Linked DNA regions of Drosophila melanogaster. Changing the gene in region 3 together with the main gene of any one other region gives a genetic interaction. Each region holds a gene or a part of one and is shown on either strand. Other genes may lie near its edges.

Region 1 (5,618 bases), on a different chromosome or scaffold from region 3:
TCGTATTCGCATTCGCATTCGTATTTTGTATTTTGTATTCCGAAATGGCACTGGATCGACTGGATCGCGGGCGTTGAACTTGATCAAAGCGCTTCTCGTGTAAACACTGGTGTTTCACGGCTGGCGAGGGCAGTCTCTAATTCTCACTCTCTCTCTCGCTCGCGCCCCATCTATATCGCTGGCGGTTCCGTCGTTGACCTCCTCGCGTATTACGTATACGCCCGATATGCAGGCGAAGAGAGATCGACGTCGGCGGATGGAGATGGCCAGTGCGTGAGCGGGAGCGAGTGACTGCGGGTGACTAACCCACTGCAGTTTCAATTAGAACAAACGACATCGACAAGTTCAATGTGATCATTTCGCCTTCGCAGTCGCTGTTTTCTGCCTTCTGCCTTCGACGTCGGCGTCTACGCCGTCAGGTTGTTGTCGAGGTTGTTGGCTGCCTGCGACTCCGTTTGCGCCGCCTAGAGGTTAATGCCGGTTGTAATTGCAAAGCACCCAACCCGAAACCGGAGACCCAACAAAGGAGCGGAGCTTAGAGCGACTACAGTGGTCCCTGCCCGCGCGACTCGCCTCTTTCTGGCTAATCTGTGACTCGGTGACATTTGCGATGATCTTGAAACAACCATAAACCGAACGAGACGCAGCAATAAAGGCATTATGGGTACGTAGGTAATGTTGTGTATATGGTACGTGTAGATACATTTATACGTTTATGAATCGGCAAGAGGTCACTGCAGACAGGGAAACCTTAACAAAACAACACTCAAGACAATTCTTGAAAAATGCTAACGTGAGTGCGAGACCAGCAGAATTAAAAAACCAAAATCGCCACGCATGAATCTAAAAAATAAAAAAACCAAAAACAGCTCATAAAAATATCGGCGACAACAACAAGGGGATGCAGCAGTAAAATAAAAACGCTGCAAAAACAATTAAATTCGGACAAAAAAAAAAACTGGCAAACAAGATGCAAGTGGCAACAAGTTTCTCAGACTCAGTCGCTCAGTTTCTCCTCAGGGCCAGCAAATCTTCGCTCTGCAGTCTTCGGTCTTAAGTCTTTGTGCGTGCCAGGAGGTGGGGCGGGGGAGCAGGGAAATGGGAATCTGGGTTATGGCAAACAGGGGAGCCATGTAATAAAATGCGGTAATGGTAATGGTAATGGTAACCAAAATATTAAACAACTCTTCACCAACATCAGCAGAAAATGCAATTCCAAAGGGTGACGCAAGGGAGGGAAGGCAGGGGAAGGCCCTAAAAACAGGCCGACTTTGGATTTGGGTTTGCGTTTGGGATGGGGCTCGAAATGTGGGCTACACTTTCAATTGGAACCCTCTGTGGGGGTATGGTGGGAAGGGGGTACAGGCGGGTCGTGAAATCGGGCAATTCCGAGCCGAAGACGCACGACGATATTCTGCCTAAAAAAAAAAACGCTCCGATCGCCGCCGACTTTGTGTGCGTATGTACCGCTTTCTGTATCTTTGGAGTTACATAGGGGGAAAGTTGCATATTCCCCTACCCGTTCCCATTCCCCTTACCCCTCTCGCTCCATATCACTCTATTTACAATTTGCCGCTGCCGATCTGCGGATCTGCCCCAAACATTCGCGTTTGTAATTGCATCGGTGTGTGGGCGGCGCTCGTTGATTCGTTCGCTCGCCGACGACTTTGCATTTCATTTCCCCCAATTTTGTCGGCCTGACAATGAATAAACAAAACTTCTAAATGGGCAATACCAGAAAACACAACAGAATATACGGACAGCAGAAAAAAAAATAATAAAAAAACCACAACCACACACATGGAACCCCCGAAAAAAACGCAATTTTCGCTTGCTCGGCTTCGCCGCCGTCGCATGCGCAGAAAATTTGCTCGTTTTTTTGGCGACTGCGCTGCAGGCAGCGCTGTAAACTGCAGCGATCGGATCGAGTTGATCGCAGAACGCAGATCGCAGATCGCAGATCGCACTGCTGCCGCTGCCGCCGCCGTCGACGTCGCTGCACTCCAAAAAAGCGAAGGAAACACACAATCGCACACGAGAAGTATATAACAAAAAAGCGAGCAAATAAGGCAAAAAGTAAAAAGTAAAAAGCAAGAAGCGAAAAAAGCGAATGAAACATACAGGCGGCATAAGTATATACACACACACACATATATATCACAAACACTGGTGCACAGCGAATTCTCTGATTCAATTGGGCAGACGCACACACTCGCGCACACACCAATACACACGCACACTGGCAGAGGGCAGCGGCACAAGCCCAACACATTTAACTGCATTTTTTCGGAACTCAGTTGAGCTTTTTAATTCGATCGGTTCAGTTACTAAAGTTAGTTCAGCCTAAACGCACAATTTCAATTTCCATTTCTAAGTTTGAGCCCGAATTGAATAGCATTAGTGCCCACCCCACGCCTACCCTCGCACCACCGCACCAACGCACCACAGCAGTATCCAACACACACACGAGGACTGGACAATTCCCTCTGTTCTATTTTTTTGTGTTTTTTGTCAAGTGCACCCAAGCAAAGACCAAAGGACGCAAACCATCTAGTGCGCGATTCGCGCGCGTTTTGAATCAAAAGAATCTAAGAATCCAAGAATAGCTAAATCACTGAATCGCAGAATCAGGAGCGGAAAAAGCGAAAGCCAACCCCAAAAACCCAAAGCCCCAAAAGTTCAAGTGAATAATCAGTGTGCATCCCCAAGTAGTCGACCCAATGAAGCGCCGCCATGAGCAAGGATGCACCTACTGAGCGCAACTACAACCGCACCATCCAGGTAAGGGTTTCCTACATCCCATCCGACCCCATCCGCTTTGCTTTGTAGGGCAAACCGAACGTGCTGGAAGCTCCTTGATCTAGGGGCAGAGGGAGCCTAGCATCCAGATCTATATCGACATACACACACACACACATCCATATTCTCACACACGGTTGCAGGTACAGATACACACTGAAATTTGATTCGGATTCGTGGCCCGATCCATAAGAAGGACATTTGAGTCATCCGATGCAGCTGCCTGCTCTCTCCCTCTCTGCCTTTGGGCTCGGCTCTCCTCATTAGCACTTTGATGAAGAGTCACAAAAGCGGACGGACCGGGCCTAGACCCCTCCCTTCGAACTGTCCAAAAATTTCGGTGCATCTGCATACAAAGGCACACAAAGACGCACAGAGTGTACGGATACAGATACAGATACAGATGCAGCTACATATACATATACAGATACAGACACATATACTGTTACAGATACAGATGCACTGCAGGAAGCAGGGCAGCACAGTAGCCTCAGTCGCCTCTTTCAGCCCCGTTTCAGCTTCTCCACCCCTGGACTCTGCGCTGCATTGTTCCACTTCTACACTTCCACACTTCCCCACTTCCCCACTTCCCCACTTGTCCGCTACCCGCCACTCCTCGCTTTTTCGGCTGCAGTCTGTCAGTCAGACTGAGGCTTCGTGAAGCTCACGGCCAAGGCGAAGGCAGCTGAGGATCTGCACTCGGCCGAACACGAAGGCCGGTTGGGCAGGGTTCGGGAACGATCGAAAGCCAGCCCGAAACGGCGGAACTGCAGTTTGCTGTTCAGCGTCGCACTGAGCAAACGTCGTGTGGCAGCTCATCGCCAATTGCGAATTGCAAACTGCAAACTGAGTACCGTAAATCGCTCGCGCAAAGTGCAAGTCGCGCTGAATTCGCAAGTTCACATAATATCGGCATCCGCATATCCGCATATCTGTATATCTGCACATCCGCAAGCAGCTTGCTTCCACGCCAATTTTGTTTTCGTTGCGTTTATATTTTTTTTTCTGTTGATGTTTCTCGTTATATACATAGTATCCTTTTAGCAACCCACTCAGGCTTTTGCTGATTCTATTTCGATCGCAATCGGTCTCAGGAATCAATCTCAGGATTAGCTCTACGGCAGGTAAGTCACGTGAGGAGCGGTGGTGTTTCTGAAACTTTTGCTTTCAATGGGTTTGCTTCTGGAACTGGGCCAACAGCGAGACTCAAATGGCCAGACAGGCACGCAGTCAAGCGGTTTGGTGACAGGGTCCCCACTACTCCTGCTGCTTCTCCTGCTCCACCCACCGATCTGTAGGAAAGGTGGTAACGCCAGCTTCTTCTTTTTGTTCTCCCAGTTGTTAGGGCGACCCAGACCCAGACCGAGACCCAGACGAGTCACTCAAACGACAACAACACTCCGCCGTCCCCATTTCTATCCCCATCCACAACCATCATCAGCCATTCCCATTCCCCATCTGCAAGCCACAAAGACCGGCACCCATACACTCGCACACTGGCGCACTCACACGGACATGGGCACAGGCACAGTCACAGCAAGGTGACGTAATGGCAACTACTCCACTAACACATTTTTCTGCATTCCTGCAACGCGAGGAAGAGGAGGAAAAGAAGCGGTGGGGGCGGGGTGGGAAAGTCGCGCGACGAGAGAAAAACTGAATGAAAATTGCAGGCAGCCAACGAAGCGTGCCTAGCAAAAAGGAAGAGCGAAAAAAGCATAAAACGACAGAAACTAGAGACGCAGCCAGACTACGCCACAGCCAGAGCCACAGTCAGAGCCAGGAGGGGCTGGGGGTGTGGGGAACACACGTGGGACGTGCTGTGAAGCTCGGGATGCGAATGTGGTGGCTGGTGGCTGTCGGATAGCTGGATGCTAGGAAAACAGAGGCGGCGGAGACAGAGGAGACGGAGGAGATGGAGATGGAGGAGACTCGCCAAAGTGGTGGCCCCGACTAGACGCTGTCTGCGTACTGTGTCTGTGCCTGTGCCTGTGTCAGTGTCTGTGTATTAGGATGTCTGCGTGTGCGTGCTAGCCATCTGTGTGCGACTGGCCGACATTCAAGGTTGTCGGCGCATAACTTGTTGTTGCCGCACTGCAATTGTTGCTGCCACAGATTGTAAATGCTGCAAATGCAGTGCGGCAAGGGCACAAGTGCCCACTCCAGTGCCAGCTTGAGTTCCAGGAAGCTTATGAGTGGAGCAACAGTAAAAGGACATCCGAACCGGGGTAACGGCCTGGGCGACCCACTTGGGGCTAGTGGTAATCAGAGGCTCAGAGACAGAAGCGGGCAGTTAGAGAAACTGCACAACAGACTAGCAACCAGTAGCACTTCCGTTAGCCTTGAAGCCCAATCAACTGGAATCAACTGGAAACTGCGGCCAATTGAGAGCCGCATCGCCACAAGTGGACAAAGCACGCAGACGAGCAGCAGCAGCTCCCCAGAGTTTCAGTTGCCAGCTCTCCACTCACACTCACATGACTCATGTTCTAGCAACGGAGCACTTGTTTGGGTGCAACAGCAGCCACAAATGCATCCGTCGCAGTAACAAATAGGGATCACGATGATGATCATGATGAGCACGATCAGCGTAATGATCGTGTCATTCAAGGCCGCCGCAAATTGCGAGCGGTGAGTCGAGGAGTTGCAAAATAAACACAGAAAACATCAGACACAAACGCGAATGCGAAGAGCCAACAGACGAGGACAGGGACATACAAAGTGCATAGTTATCGCTATAGACATATAGACACATGGACATACATATAGGCGAGTTCCCAAGTTCTCGGAAACGGTTACTCCAAGGCCAAAAGCCGGAT
Region 2 (5,921 bases), on a different chromosome or scaffold from region 3:
AGATCGCCCTGAGTGCTGCGGCAACGGCCCAAAACGCAAAGAAAGTAGAGGCAGTGCGCGACAAGATCAAGAAGCTTGTGGACCACATTGGCAACGTAAAGGACGAGCTTTACCGGCACAAGGACACGGCCAGCGTGTCAGACAAGTACTGGCGGAATGTGGAGAAGGCGCGAAACTACTTCATTGACGAGATCGAGTCTATCTTCCCCGGCCTCAGTTTGGCGGATAAGAAACTTAATCTGTCAAAGGAGGACCTAGACTTGTTCATCCTGCACGCCTACACCCATGTCCTGGCCTACCAGAAGGAGCTGCAGCGCTTGCAAACCGATGGTGAGCTGCGCCTGAAGAGAGCTATTGACTCGGTTCGCGGTGACAACGATTCGGAGGCTTTGCGCGCCCAACTGGAATACCATTTGGAGGCCGAGCGGCGCAAACTGGCCGTGGAAAATCAAAAGAAAATCTTCCACATCCACGCCGAGTCTGATAAGCTGCTGCGCTTGCAGCTCAAAAAGCAAGCAGAGGCCCACGCCGATCATATAAAGGACATCGTGGCGCAGCGGGAGACCGATCTGACGCGAAGCTTTAAGCGTGAACTTGAGGATAAGCTGGCGACCGAAAAGGCCAACTATAAGTTACAATTGGCCGGGATGCTCGGCAAGCTGCGCGGAATGGACGCGGCTCTGGCAGGTAAGTTATACGTTTTAAACGATATCGGTTGAATGTAGCTAGTGTAGCGTGGCTAGATATATAATGGTTTTCAAACCTTTTCAAAACATGCTGCTATATTAGAGATAGAGGATGAGTTTCAAGGTATATTCACCCTATATGAAGGGTAGTACTTATACCAACTTATTCTTGGTTTAATCAAAATGTTTATTGACATTATATGCAACATTTTTGCAGAGCGTGCGGATGCAGAGCGTACTGCCAATCAGGCGCAGGCCCTTTGGGCCGCCTGCCAAGCTCTGTGGGCCTCCGTGCGCGCTGCCACTCCTGGCGTGCACTATAAGGATAGGTTGCGCCCGTTAAAGAACGAGATCAATGCCATTGCCAAGGTGGCTAGTAAGTTGAAACGTTTCCCACATTTCGATTTCAGTTGCTAAATGCATATGCTTACAGAGGGTGACGACCTGGTGGCCGCTGTGCTGGAAAGCGTCCCGAAGGAGGCTCAGGAGCGCGGTGTCTATCCAGAAGATGCATTGCGCGAGCGTTTCCTGAATGTGGAGCGCGTGGCGCGACGATTGGCTTTGGTGCCCGAGGAAGGAGCCGGCCTGCCCATCTACTTCCTGTCCTATCTGCAATCGCTGTTCATCTTGCGACCCGATAATCCCATATCCAAGGACGAACTCGAGAACAAACCCTTCGACTATAGCAAACTGGACACCTACGATATCCTAAACAGGGCCAGGTGAGGCGATTGATTCATCTATCACTAGAGTTATATAATATATATTATATATATTATGTTTCACAGGTACCATGTGGATCGCAGCGACTTTCTGCAGGCGCTCAAGTACATGAATCTGCTGCAGGGTGCATCGCGCAAGATTGCCGGCGAGTGGATGAAGGAGGCTCGCCTCATGCTGGAGACTCAGCAGGCGGCCAACACCTTGATGGCTCACGCCGCTGCCAGCGGACTATTGTATTTGTAGACTACGTCCCGTGTCCCCTTCCTTCAGAAACAAGATGATACACTTACTATTTGTTATTAGTCCAGGAGAAGATGGTACGATTACCAACAATATGTAATTTGTCCAATTAGCGATCACAGTTGAAACGAAATAGCACTTATATACATATATTTGTAACATTTTGTTTAGCTTCAATTATACAAATTAAACATAGAAACCATCATTATAAAATCCAAAACATAAATACTCTGGGAAGATTTGTAAAAAATTCGATACCAAGGCATGAATGGAATATGATATATTACTAAAGCTGAAATTGGCAAGCTTTGTGTTTCTGAAGAACAATGTGATTAGGCCATAAATAAACATAAAGAACATCCACTTGTTGTTTAATTTAGCGAAAAAAATTAATATAATAAATAAGTTGACTAAAAAGTATGCTGAATGTCAAAATTCAAATAAAATGCATTGGCTAAATTTAATTTCTCTGTTCTGAAAAGAAAGCATGGTAGGCAAGGCAAATGTATTCAAAAACAGGTTACTATGCGGTTGCCGCCAAATTTATTCCTTAAATAATCGTATATGTTCGTTACTAATTTTCGAACGCCAAAATCGCGATAGTTGGTCGTTAGCCAGCACTGGACGCGCCAGTTTCGTGGGCGGCTATCGCCAGCCCTGGTAGTCAGAGGCAATCAGCTGGTTTGCGTGGTCGATTTGGTCCTATTGAAATTTTTCGGTTTGGCACCGGAGCAAAAATCACATCGCAATCAAAAATTTCGCGTGGCCAAAGGACACACTTTTGAGTTTGGATCAACAGCCGGGAAGATCTAGCTAACCGAATAGCAAAATGTCGATGCTGGCGAGAACAGTTGGACGGACGTTCATGCAGGTAAACGGCCATCCAAACCGCAGCTCTTACATAAACACTTGCTCGCGACGCGCTGTGCGAATATTTCTGCGCTGAGGCCTAGTTCTTATACGTTTCTTTTTTTTTTTTTTGAGGTTATAATCCTAGCCAGCCTTAACGATTACATTGCATTCTTCTCGTTTTAGGCTGCGGCAGCACGTAGTCTGCACACCACGTCGACGCTACGGGCTACGGTGAGTGTTAAATGCGCTTATTAAGTGGCACCAGTTGTAACCGGAAAATAATTGGTCTTGCAGGATAACTACGGCGCCAACAGGACCACCTGCACACTGATTCCCGGCGACGGTGTGGGTCCCGAGCTGGTCTACTCCCTCCAGGAGGTCTTCAAGGTAGCTAACCATCCATCAAGTTGCAATCATTCACATACAGTATTCCAATGCGTCCTAATTCTTATAAATCTATACTCTTGCGTCTCTTGATCTCTCTTAAAAAAAAGGTTATTTAAGCTTAGGATCATTGCCAGCTTGGTTTCCTATTTAATAGAAAAGCTTTTTTTAAGCAAGTCGGCGTTTAGTTAGTTATGTACATATTTCTAGAATCTATTAGATTTAAAAAGCACAGGGCTCTAAAAATTAATTAATATATTTCACTCTTCACAGAGCGCATTGTATTTGATAACACTTCCATTTTTCCCGATCACGAGTGTTTTTATTATATAAATCAAAACATCAAACTTATCTGTATCGTAAAGATATGTGATAAGTGGCTGCTACTTGAAAATTTTAGTAGATTTCGGGATTTCCGTTTTAACTGAACATACATGTTCATACGTGCGACTAAATTAAAAAATGCTATGTAAATTCTTTAACTTTTCAAGCCCAATCAATATGCATAATTATCTTATCTTGTCGTTCAGGCAGCCAGCGTTCCCGTGGACTTCGAGTGCTACTTCCTTTCCGAAATCAATCCCGTGCTTAGTGCCAAACTGGAGGATGTGGTGGCATCCATTCAGAAAAACAAAGTGTGCATTAAGGTAAGTTTGCAAGAAAATAAAATAGTGTGATAAAATCTAAACAATGTGCTCCTTCAGGGCGTTTTGGCCACACCCGACTACAGCAATGTGGGTGACCTGCAGACCCTTAACATGAAGCTTCGCAACGACCTGGACCTCTACGCCAATGTGGTGCATGTGCGCAGCTTGCCCGGTGTCAAGACCCGCCACACCAACATCGACACGGTGATTATTCGCGAGCAGACGGAGGGCGAGTATTCGGCGTTGGAGCACGAGTCGGTGCCCGGCATTGTGGAGTGCCTGAAGATTATCACCGCCAAAAAGTCCATGCGCATTGCCAAGTTCGCCTTCGACTATGCGACGAAGAATCAGCGCAAGAAGGTCACCGCCGTGCACAAGGCGAATATCATGAAGTTGGGCGACGGTCTCTTCCTACGCTCCTGCGAAGAGGTTTCCCGGCTCTATCCGCGCATCCAGTTTGAGAAGATGATCGTGGACAACACGACCATGCAGATGGTTTCCAATCCCAACCAGTTCGACGTGATGGTCACCCCCAATCTCTATGGTGCCATTGTGGACAATCTGGCCAGTGGTCTCGTGGGCGGTGCTGGTGTCGTTGCTGGTGCCTCCTACTCCTCGGAATCCGTCGTCTTTGAGCCGGTAAGATTCGCCATAAAGACATAAAGATAATCCATAAGATCGTGATTTACACGGTTCTCGAGCCTAGCTGTGCGAATCCACTTCAGACTATTCTTATCTCTAATACCGATTTCCGATTGCAGGGTGCACGTCACACCTTCGCCGAGGCCGTGGGCAAGAACGTGGCTAATCCCACTGCCATGCTGCTCTGCGGCGTGAAGCTGTTGCGCCACATCAACCTGCCCACCTACGGCGAGATCATCCAGAATGCCATCAACAAGGTGCTGAACGATGGCAAGGTGCGTACTAAGGATCTGGGCGGACAATCGACCACGCAGGACTTTACCCGCGCCATCATCCTGAACATGTCCTAGATGGGCACCACTGTCATCGCCGGCATCGCGATCAGCAAGTCTACAACATCATGGGCAACAACGTTGGCGCTTATATAATCGACATTAGACAGTTTCTGTTGTTGCCACAGCTAAATTTTGAATTGTTGAAAGAAACACCTTGAAAGTTCTTAGTTATCCTATTACGTCCAATTTTTTTTATTTGTCCCGATGTCTTCAGTGCATTCATTTGAGTATTATTTCCGGCGAATATTTAAGTTTAGTCCAATTGAAACGCCTGCAGACCCGCCCCGAATCCAAAAGTTGCGAATTCTTTAGTTTTACCAATTGGCAGTAATACATCGATCCTTGATTATGTTGTAATTATTTACGTATTATTTCCCCCCCCCCCCCTTTTTGATTTCGCAAAGATGCTAATTTACGGTCGAATTATATTTTATGTTTAACCCGTTGAAAAGCAAAACAAAAAAAAAAACCGAAAACAAATGATATTGCTAAACCAATTAACTGATAACGGATGGCTTTGAGTGGACCCACTCCACTGGAGCTGTGAGAAAGATAACAATAAACTCAAATCTAAATTAATTATTATTTAAAAGCCATTGTCAGTTCCGAGCTGTCTAAATTTTAAGTAATACAAACAAAAGATAAAAAAAAAAACCCAAACATATTTCTCAAACTTTTTTTTGACTGGAATGAAAGGCCAAAGGAGATTTCATCGCTATTCCCAACTCCGGCGCCACTTTCACAGGAAATCCAATCCCGTAAAGAGCCGGAAAAGCTCTAGTTGTTTTTTAAAAAACCAAAAACAAATTTATTAGAAAAGTCGATACCAAATGTAGCCGAAATGAAAAACTTAGAACACCAATAAGGACGGTAATGATTATCCAGACGCACAGTCCACGTCCGTCTCCAATTATTATCCACCCTTGGGCTTGGCCAACTCGATGAGGCGTGGCGAGGCTTTGGCCTTCAGAGCCGCCGGCGATATGGCAAACGGATTCTCCCGGATATGCGTGTTCTCGAACTCCTTGGGCTCCGCCAGCTCCTTGATCCGCGTGCTCGCCTTGTATTTGAGCGCGTTTGGCGCGATACCGAATGGATTCTCCTTGACATCCGCCAGTCCTTGGTTGGCATCGCGCGTGGTAAGTGGCTCGGACATCTCCTTGATGCGGGCACTCGCTAAGTGAAGCAATGCCAGGTGCTGCATTATTAAAAGATCAACTAAATTGGAGTATGTGTACTTACGCTTGTAGCGAAGGGCATTGGGCGAGACCTTCTCCGGATTCTCGTTGATGTGGACATTATCGCGCACGACGGGCTGCGATATTTGCTTGATCCGCTTGGTCGCCTTGTAGTCCTTCATCTGGGAGGTCAGCTCCCACTTGGGTTTGATCTCCTCCAAATAGGCCTTGGGA
Region 3 (5,598 bases):
GCAACAACGATGGTTAAATTGGAACTGGGAACCGACGAGGATAGCAATAACAATAAGAACAACGAGGAGCTGAATGCTAATGTGGAAAATAATTTAGTAACAAGCGTTGTGAATGTCAAGAATGAAGTGAAGAAGGAAGTGGAAGCTGAAGCTGAAACAGAAGCGGAAACGGAAACGAATGCGAAAGCAAATACGAATAGTAGCACTAGGCTAGACGAGGATCAGACGGACATCGAGACAATGGATAGTGAATTGAATGGTGATATTTTTGAATTTGAAGAGGCCGATGTGCCCTTGCCACCACTGTACTTGCTCAAAGACGAGGGCAGTGATAAATGGGTACTACTCAATGATTTGTGCAATTTACTTAAAGTTAAATCGAAGGATACGTTGCTTAACAAGGTATGTGCCATTTAGATGCGATATTTAAATGAACTTATAACAAAATCTTGTTATTTTTTTTTTAGCTCTGTCCGAACAACAGCAATGCCTTGGCCAGCAGTCAGAAGCACCTGCTACGGGAGTTCAAGATAGATGATTTCCTGGAGAAAGCCACCTGCCTGCAGCTGTTGTGCGCCGGTGAAAAGCTGAACATGTTCAGTTCGTCGAAGGTTGTGCTCATCAAATACAACGACAGTGTACGGAACTTGTTGGGCGTTAAGACCATTTTAATGAAATTTTAACCGAGATATCTTTAGCGATTGGACGGGGCAAGATCCAGAAAGATATAAATTAGATAATGATGAATGGATGAGCATAGTACTAACTGAACATAGAGTGTAAAGTGCAAACAAATATGGAAAAACTATTAGTACGAATATAATAGTAGATTTATATACTATACATATGTATATTTTAGCTAGTAACTAGTTTTTACTCACACGTCTTTGTCTTTGGAAGATAAAGGATTTTATAAAGGAAATTAAATTTAGAGCTAATGCAAAGTGATACAAAGGTGCTATACACACTCAAAACGAAGAAAAAGGAAATGAATGGAAATTTTAGAGCGAGAATATTGAGAAAATCTGGAATCTTTAGGGATTGGCTGCAATTATGCAATAAAAGTAGAAGAAAACAATGCAAGGCAGTTAGAAACGAGGAAACGAACGGAAAATGTATGCCAGCCAATCAGCTAATAAATTGATATATACTTACAGATAAATCTAGGGATGAAGTGTAATCTATGGTTTTTAAAAAAACAAAACAATCTAGCTAAAGTATAAACTAAATAATAATTATTGTAATAATATTAAAGAAGCAACAAAGGCGTATTTATGTATTATGTATTTTTAAATGAAATTATTAACATAATATATAAAGTATATGTATACACAATATGATCCAACTACAATGTAAATCAATTTTCAGATAGGTTTGTAATTTTCTATGTAATGTACGTGTGTAAGTTTTGTGCAACTATAAAAGGAAACCACAAAAAACTGAAGAAATTTAACAAAAAAAAAAAAACTAATAATGAAAAACAAAATAAATGCAAAGTGAAATTTTGACAATTTAAAAGTGCGGTTTCACTTCAAAATTTTAACAATCTCCTGGCATTTGAAAACAAATATCGATCCAAGCTTTTATTAAACGATTCTTCAAAATTGGTTTAAAAGGTTATTTATATATAATAATAGATGACTGAACAGGTAAGGTCTTAGATAAGTACTTAAATATACTTAGAGGGCCCATTCTTTTGAAAAAGTATAATTATATCTTGTGAATATTTAAATTCGTCTTCTTCTTTTCCTTTTAAATTTGCAATTATTTGAACTAGATAATCTCATTGTATTTTTTATTGCTTATTAAAATTTATGTAATATTTCATTGACAAACCGCCACAGTTTTGAATTTACGATCTATCGATAACTTGGCGATAGGTTCCGGCAGATGTCGCTCTCAAAAGCTCGCCGCACGAGCGGTGCGCTAAACGCGGGTGTGCGTGCATGTGAGTGCTTTCAGCTGAAAGCTTTCCGGTTTTCATATGATTGCCGTCCTTGTTCTTCAAACGATTTTTAAAGGCCAAGAATGCTGCCTCTCTGTCCTTGGCCCCGCTCTTCGCTCCGGTGATCCAACACTATCCCGACCGCGCATGTGTGTGTGCGTGTATGCGCGAGGGCTTTCGGTCTTCTTCTACCTACGCCAACAAACTTTTACTGTGTGTTGTGTTCCCGTTCGAGTTCGACCTAATTTCGCTCGAGACCTAATTTTTGCGTGCGGAATAGTTTTTCCCGAAAAAGTGAAGCCAGCGAATAAACAATAGCTGAAAGTGAGCGATAGCCAAGAAAGTAAGAGTGAAAGTAAACAAAAGCGAAAAGAAGAACAGCTCTGGCGTTAATTATGTGTGTGTACATACGTATATATTTAATATTTCCGATGCGTCCATAACGGGAGTGTGTTCTGGTTTCCAATCGTCGCCCGCGCCCCCGTCATTGCCTATCCGTTTACCAAACCCCAATTTTGGTGTGCAATTGTGTATAAAAATTAACACAAAGTGGGAAGATAGCGTTGTGTCATAGAATTGGAGCAGAAGCAAAAACAAGGCAAAATTAGCAAAAGCCAAGCGGAAAAACAACAACACAGAGTGCCCAGTGGAACCCCAGTACATGTGTGTATATATGTATGTGCGGTGCGAGCGTGTCAGTGTGTGCGTAGCAGGAATTGCAATTTATAGTTGTTGTTTCTGAGAGCTTTCGCTTGTTGCGCGCGTGCGACGATTGTGCAAGAAGTTCTTGGTGTGCGTTCGAAATCGGGAAGAGGAAATCGCCGAGAATAGAGGAAGAGTAAATGGCAATAAATGCAAAATAAATAAAAGAAATAAATAAAAAAAAATATAAATAAATTGCCAAATGCGTTTGGCGTCGCGTGTGTGTGCGTGTTCTGAAATATGCTGAAAGAGCTTTCGGAGAGCGAGAGCAAAAGAGAACGAGACGCCGAGAGATGCGATCGGGAGAAATAGCAACAACAACAACAACGGCAACAGCGACTACGATCGGCGAAATGAATCACACACAAGCTTTGTTTTGCGAATTATAAATTCGCGTTCCGTTCTCCACACATGCGAATTCCCACACTGAGAGCGAGACAGAGACAGCGAGAGAGAGGGAGACCAGCTACGGCTACAAAAACAGAAACAGCAAGAAGACCAAGACATAATAATAGAACTTTTGCTTTCGCTTCCAACTGGTTTTTGTATACATAAAAAGCGAGAGGGGAAGAGACGGAGAAAGAGAGAGACGGACAGCTTCCAGCGCTTCTTCTTCTTCCGCGATCTTCGTCTTGGAATTCATGGAACCGGGCGCATGCGCAACACACAGAACTACAAAAGGAAAAACAACGACGTCAGCTGCATGAAAGGTAAATTCTCAATTCTCCCCGCTGCACGACTTCCTCTCGCTCACCTTTTACCCCCCAAAAACCTCCTTTTCCATTTTGTCTAGTTGGGTGAGCTTTATTTTACTGCACTTACCATCTTTAATGGGAAGTAGGAGCACGGAATGAAATACAGTTTTGACACGAATTTGATTTAAAAACCATCATTATAAGAAAACTTTTTAAATAAAATCACCTTTTTGTTTGTTTAAATAAATTTTACTGGGATCATTATATATATATTTTTTACAAAAATTAATGTGGTTTTAAAAATTTGGATAATAAACTGAAAATTGTATCAGCAGTTTATAGCTTTTTATAGTTTTTTTTTATACATTTTCTCGTATTTTCCACTAAGATATTTTTCTTTTAAAATATTAAATATAAAGTTAATGTCATTTGCTCAATTTTTTTCCGTGGATTACCCGAGGGTTGGTGAGATTCAAGCACGAAAAGTGAAGAACTTGAAGTCGAGTGAAGTTAATTAAAGTATCGTTAAAAAGGGTAACACAGGGCTTAAAAAAATGGGGGAATCTTTCCAGTTGTCTGTTTCGCGAACTGGAAAATTACTGTAAATGGGGGAATAAACAATTTAGCGTGTTAATTTTTAAATGGATTTTATCTACTCGGAAAAAATAATTTGGTTAAAGATGCTTTTAATGCATTAACTTTTTTTTTTTTTATTAATTTTTGTAATCTTGTAAAACAATTGCATTTTTAAAAAAACTTTATTTTTCAATTTTTAAATTAAAGATTCTCGACGTCTATTTTGAAATTTAATTTTTAAACATCGGTTTATTGGTGAAATTGCATTGATACTGATAAAAATAGTTTAGGCACTCCTAAGCTCTACGGAGGTATATATTGTGGACTTTCGACGATTTAGTTAAAAACCCTAAACAATAATTAAATAGTAGAATTATAAAAAAACTGAAATATAACATAATAAATTGGGTGGACATTGAAGTGGTACAGAAAAAGCTTTGAAAGCTTTCTCTCCCCACAAAGAGTTGACCTTGGCCTGCTTCAAATACCATTAGGCCTTTCCTTGGCCCACATTCTCTGCGACCTGACCTTCAACCTGACCTTGCATTAACCTAGGCCTTTGAAATCCTTGTCCTACTTCCTGAAAATTAATATTTATTACTAGAACGGATTGATTTTTGGTTTAGACGGCTTTAAAAACGCTTAGAATTTTTTTTTGATTACTAATAATCTGCTTTATTACCATTTTCAGGTCTTTAAAGCAATTATAAACTTACAACTACTATCGTTACCTGCCATTAAGAATCAACAAAACAAATACCACACATCACAACGAAACGTACAAAAAATAAAAGTTAAATTATATTATTCATAAAATGGATACCTTCAATGTACCTATGCTGGCGGAGAGCAGCAACACCAACTATGCAACAGAAGCTACCAGCAATCATCACCACCTGCAACATCAGCATCAGCAGCAACATTCACATCAGCAGCAGCAGCAGCAGCAACTCCTAATGCCCCATCATCACAAGGATCAAATGCTGGCGGCGGGCAGTTCGCCCATGCTGCCATTCTATTCACACTTGCAGTTGCAACAGAAGGATGCAACTGCAACAATAGGACCTGCAGCAGCAGCAGCAGCAGTTGAGGCGGCAACAACATCGGCAAATGCCGATAACTTCAGTTCATTGCAAACGATCGATGCCAGTCAACTGGATGGAGGCATCTCCTTGAGCGGCTTGTGCGATCGTTTCTTTGTGGCCAGTCCAAATCCCCACAGCAATAGCAACATGACACTAATGGGCACTGCCACAGCTGCAACAACTACCACTACCAACAACAACAATAATAACAACACTAACAATAACAATAACAACAACGTGGAGGCTAAGACAGTGAGGCCATCGAACGGCAATTCGGTGATCATCGAATCTGTGACGATGCCATCGTTTGCCAATATTCTATTTCCCACCCATCGCAGCGCCAACGAGTGCATTGATCCCGCCCTGTTGCAAAAGAATCCCCAAAATCCAAATGGCAACAACAGTAGCATAATTGTGCCGCCCGTCGAATATCATCAATTGAAACCACTTGAAGTCAATTCGTCGACTTCCGTTTCCACCAGCAACTTCCTGTCCTCCACAACGGCCCAATTGTTGGACTTTGAGGTGCAGGTGGGCAAGGATGATGGCCACATTAGCACCACTACGACCACAGGGCCGGGCTCTGGATCGGCAT

Evidence for each region.
Region 1: of ftz-f1 (region 3) and br, changing one suppresses a phenotype caused by changing the other (phenotypic suppression), as found in Drosophila melanogaster (one study listed by BioGRID).
Region 2: of ftz-f1 (region 3) and Idh3b, changing one suppresses a phenotype caused by changing the other (phenotypic suppression), as found in Drosophila melanogaster (one study listed by BioGRID).

The regions. Positions count from the first base shown.
Region 1 is NC_004354.4:1,610,023-1,615,640, forward strand, and holds the start of br (broad), read left to right. Parts: upstream 1-2,318; 5' UTR 2,319-2,781; intron 2,782-3,634; exon of another isoform or gene 3,635-3,923; intron 3,924-5,618.
Region 2 is NT_033777.3:22,015,591-22,021,511, reverse strand, and holds Idh3b (isocitrate dehydrogenase 3b), read left to right. Parts: upstream 1-2,327; 5' UTR 2,328-2,478; coding exon 2,479-2,520; intron 2,521-2,684; coding exon 2,685-2,732; intron 2,733-2,795; coding exon 2,796-2,888; intron 2,889-3,415; coding exon 3,416-3,532; intron 3,533-3,589; coding exon 3,590-4,171; intron 4,172-4,293; coding exon 4,294-4,524; 3' UTR 4,525-5,121; downstream 5,122-5,921. Other genes in the region: mitofilin, read left to right, coding at 1-687, 790-810, 904-1,062, 1,120-1,408, 1,475-1,652; Theg (testicular haploid expressed gene), read right to left, coding at 5,423-5,685, 5,752-5,921.
Region 3 is NT_037436.4:18,797,867-18,803,464, reverse strand, and holds the start of ftz-f1 (ftz transcription factor 1), read left to right. Parts: upstream 1-2,155; 5' UTR 2,156-3,357; intron 3,358-4,609; 5' UTR 4,610-4,733; coding exon 4,734-5,598. Other genes in the region: CG14073 (uncharacterized protein), read left to right, coding at 1-402, 468-683. UniProt on the Drosophila melanogaster protein: Acts as a cofactor to fushi tarazu (ftz). Facilitates the binding of ftz to DNA. Binds the sequence element 5'-YCYYGGYCR-3' in the zebra element of ftz. Probably functions as a nuclear receptor for a yet unknown ligand.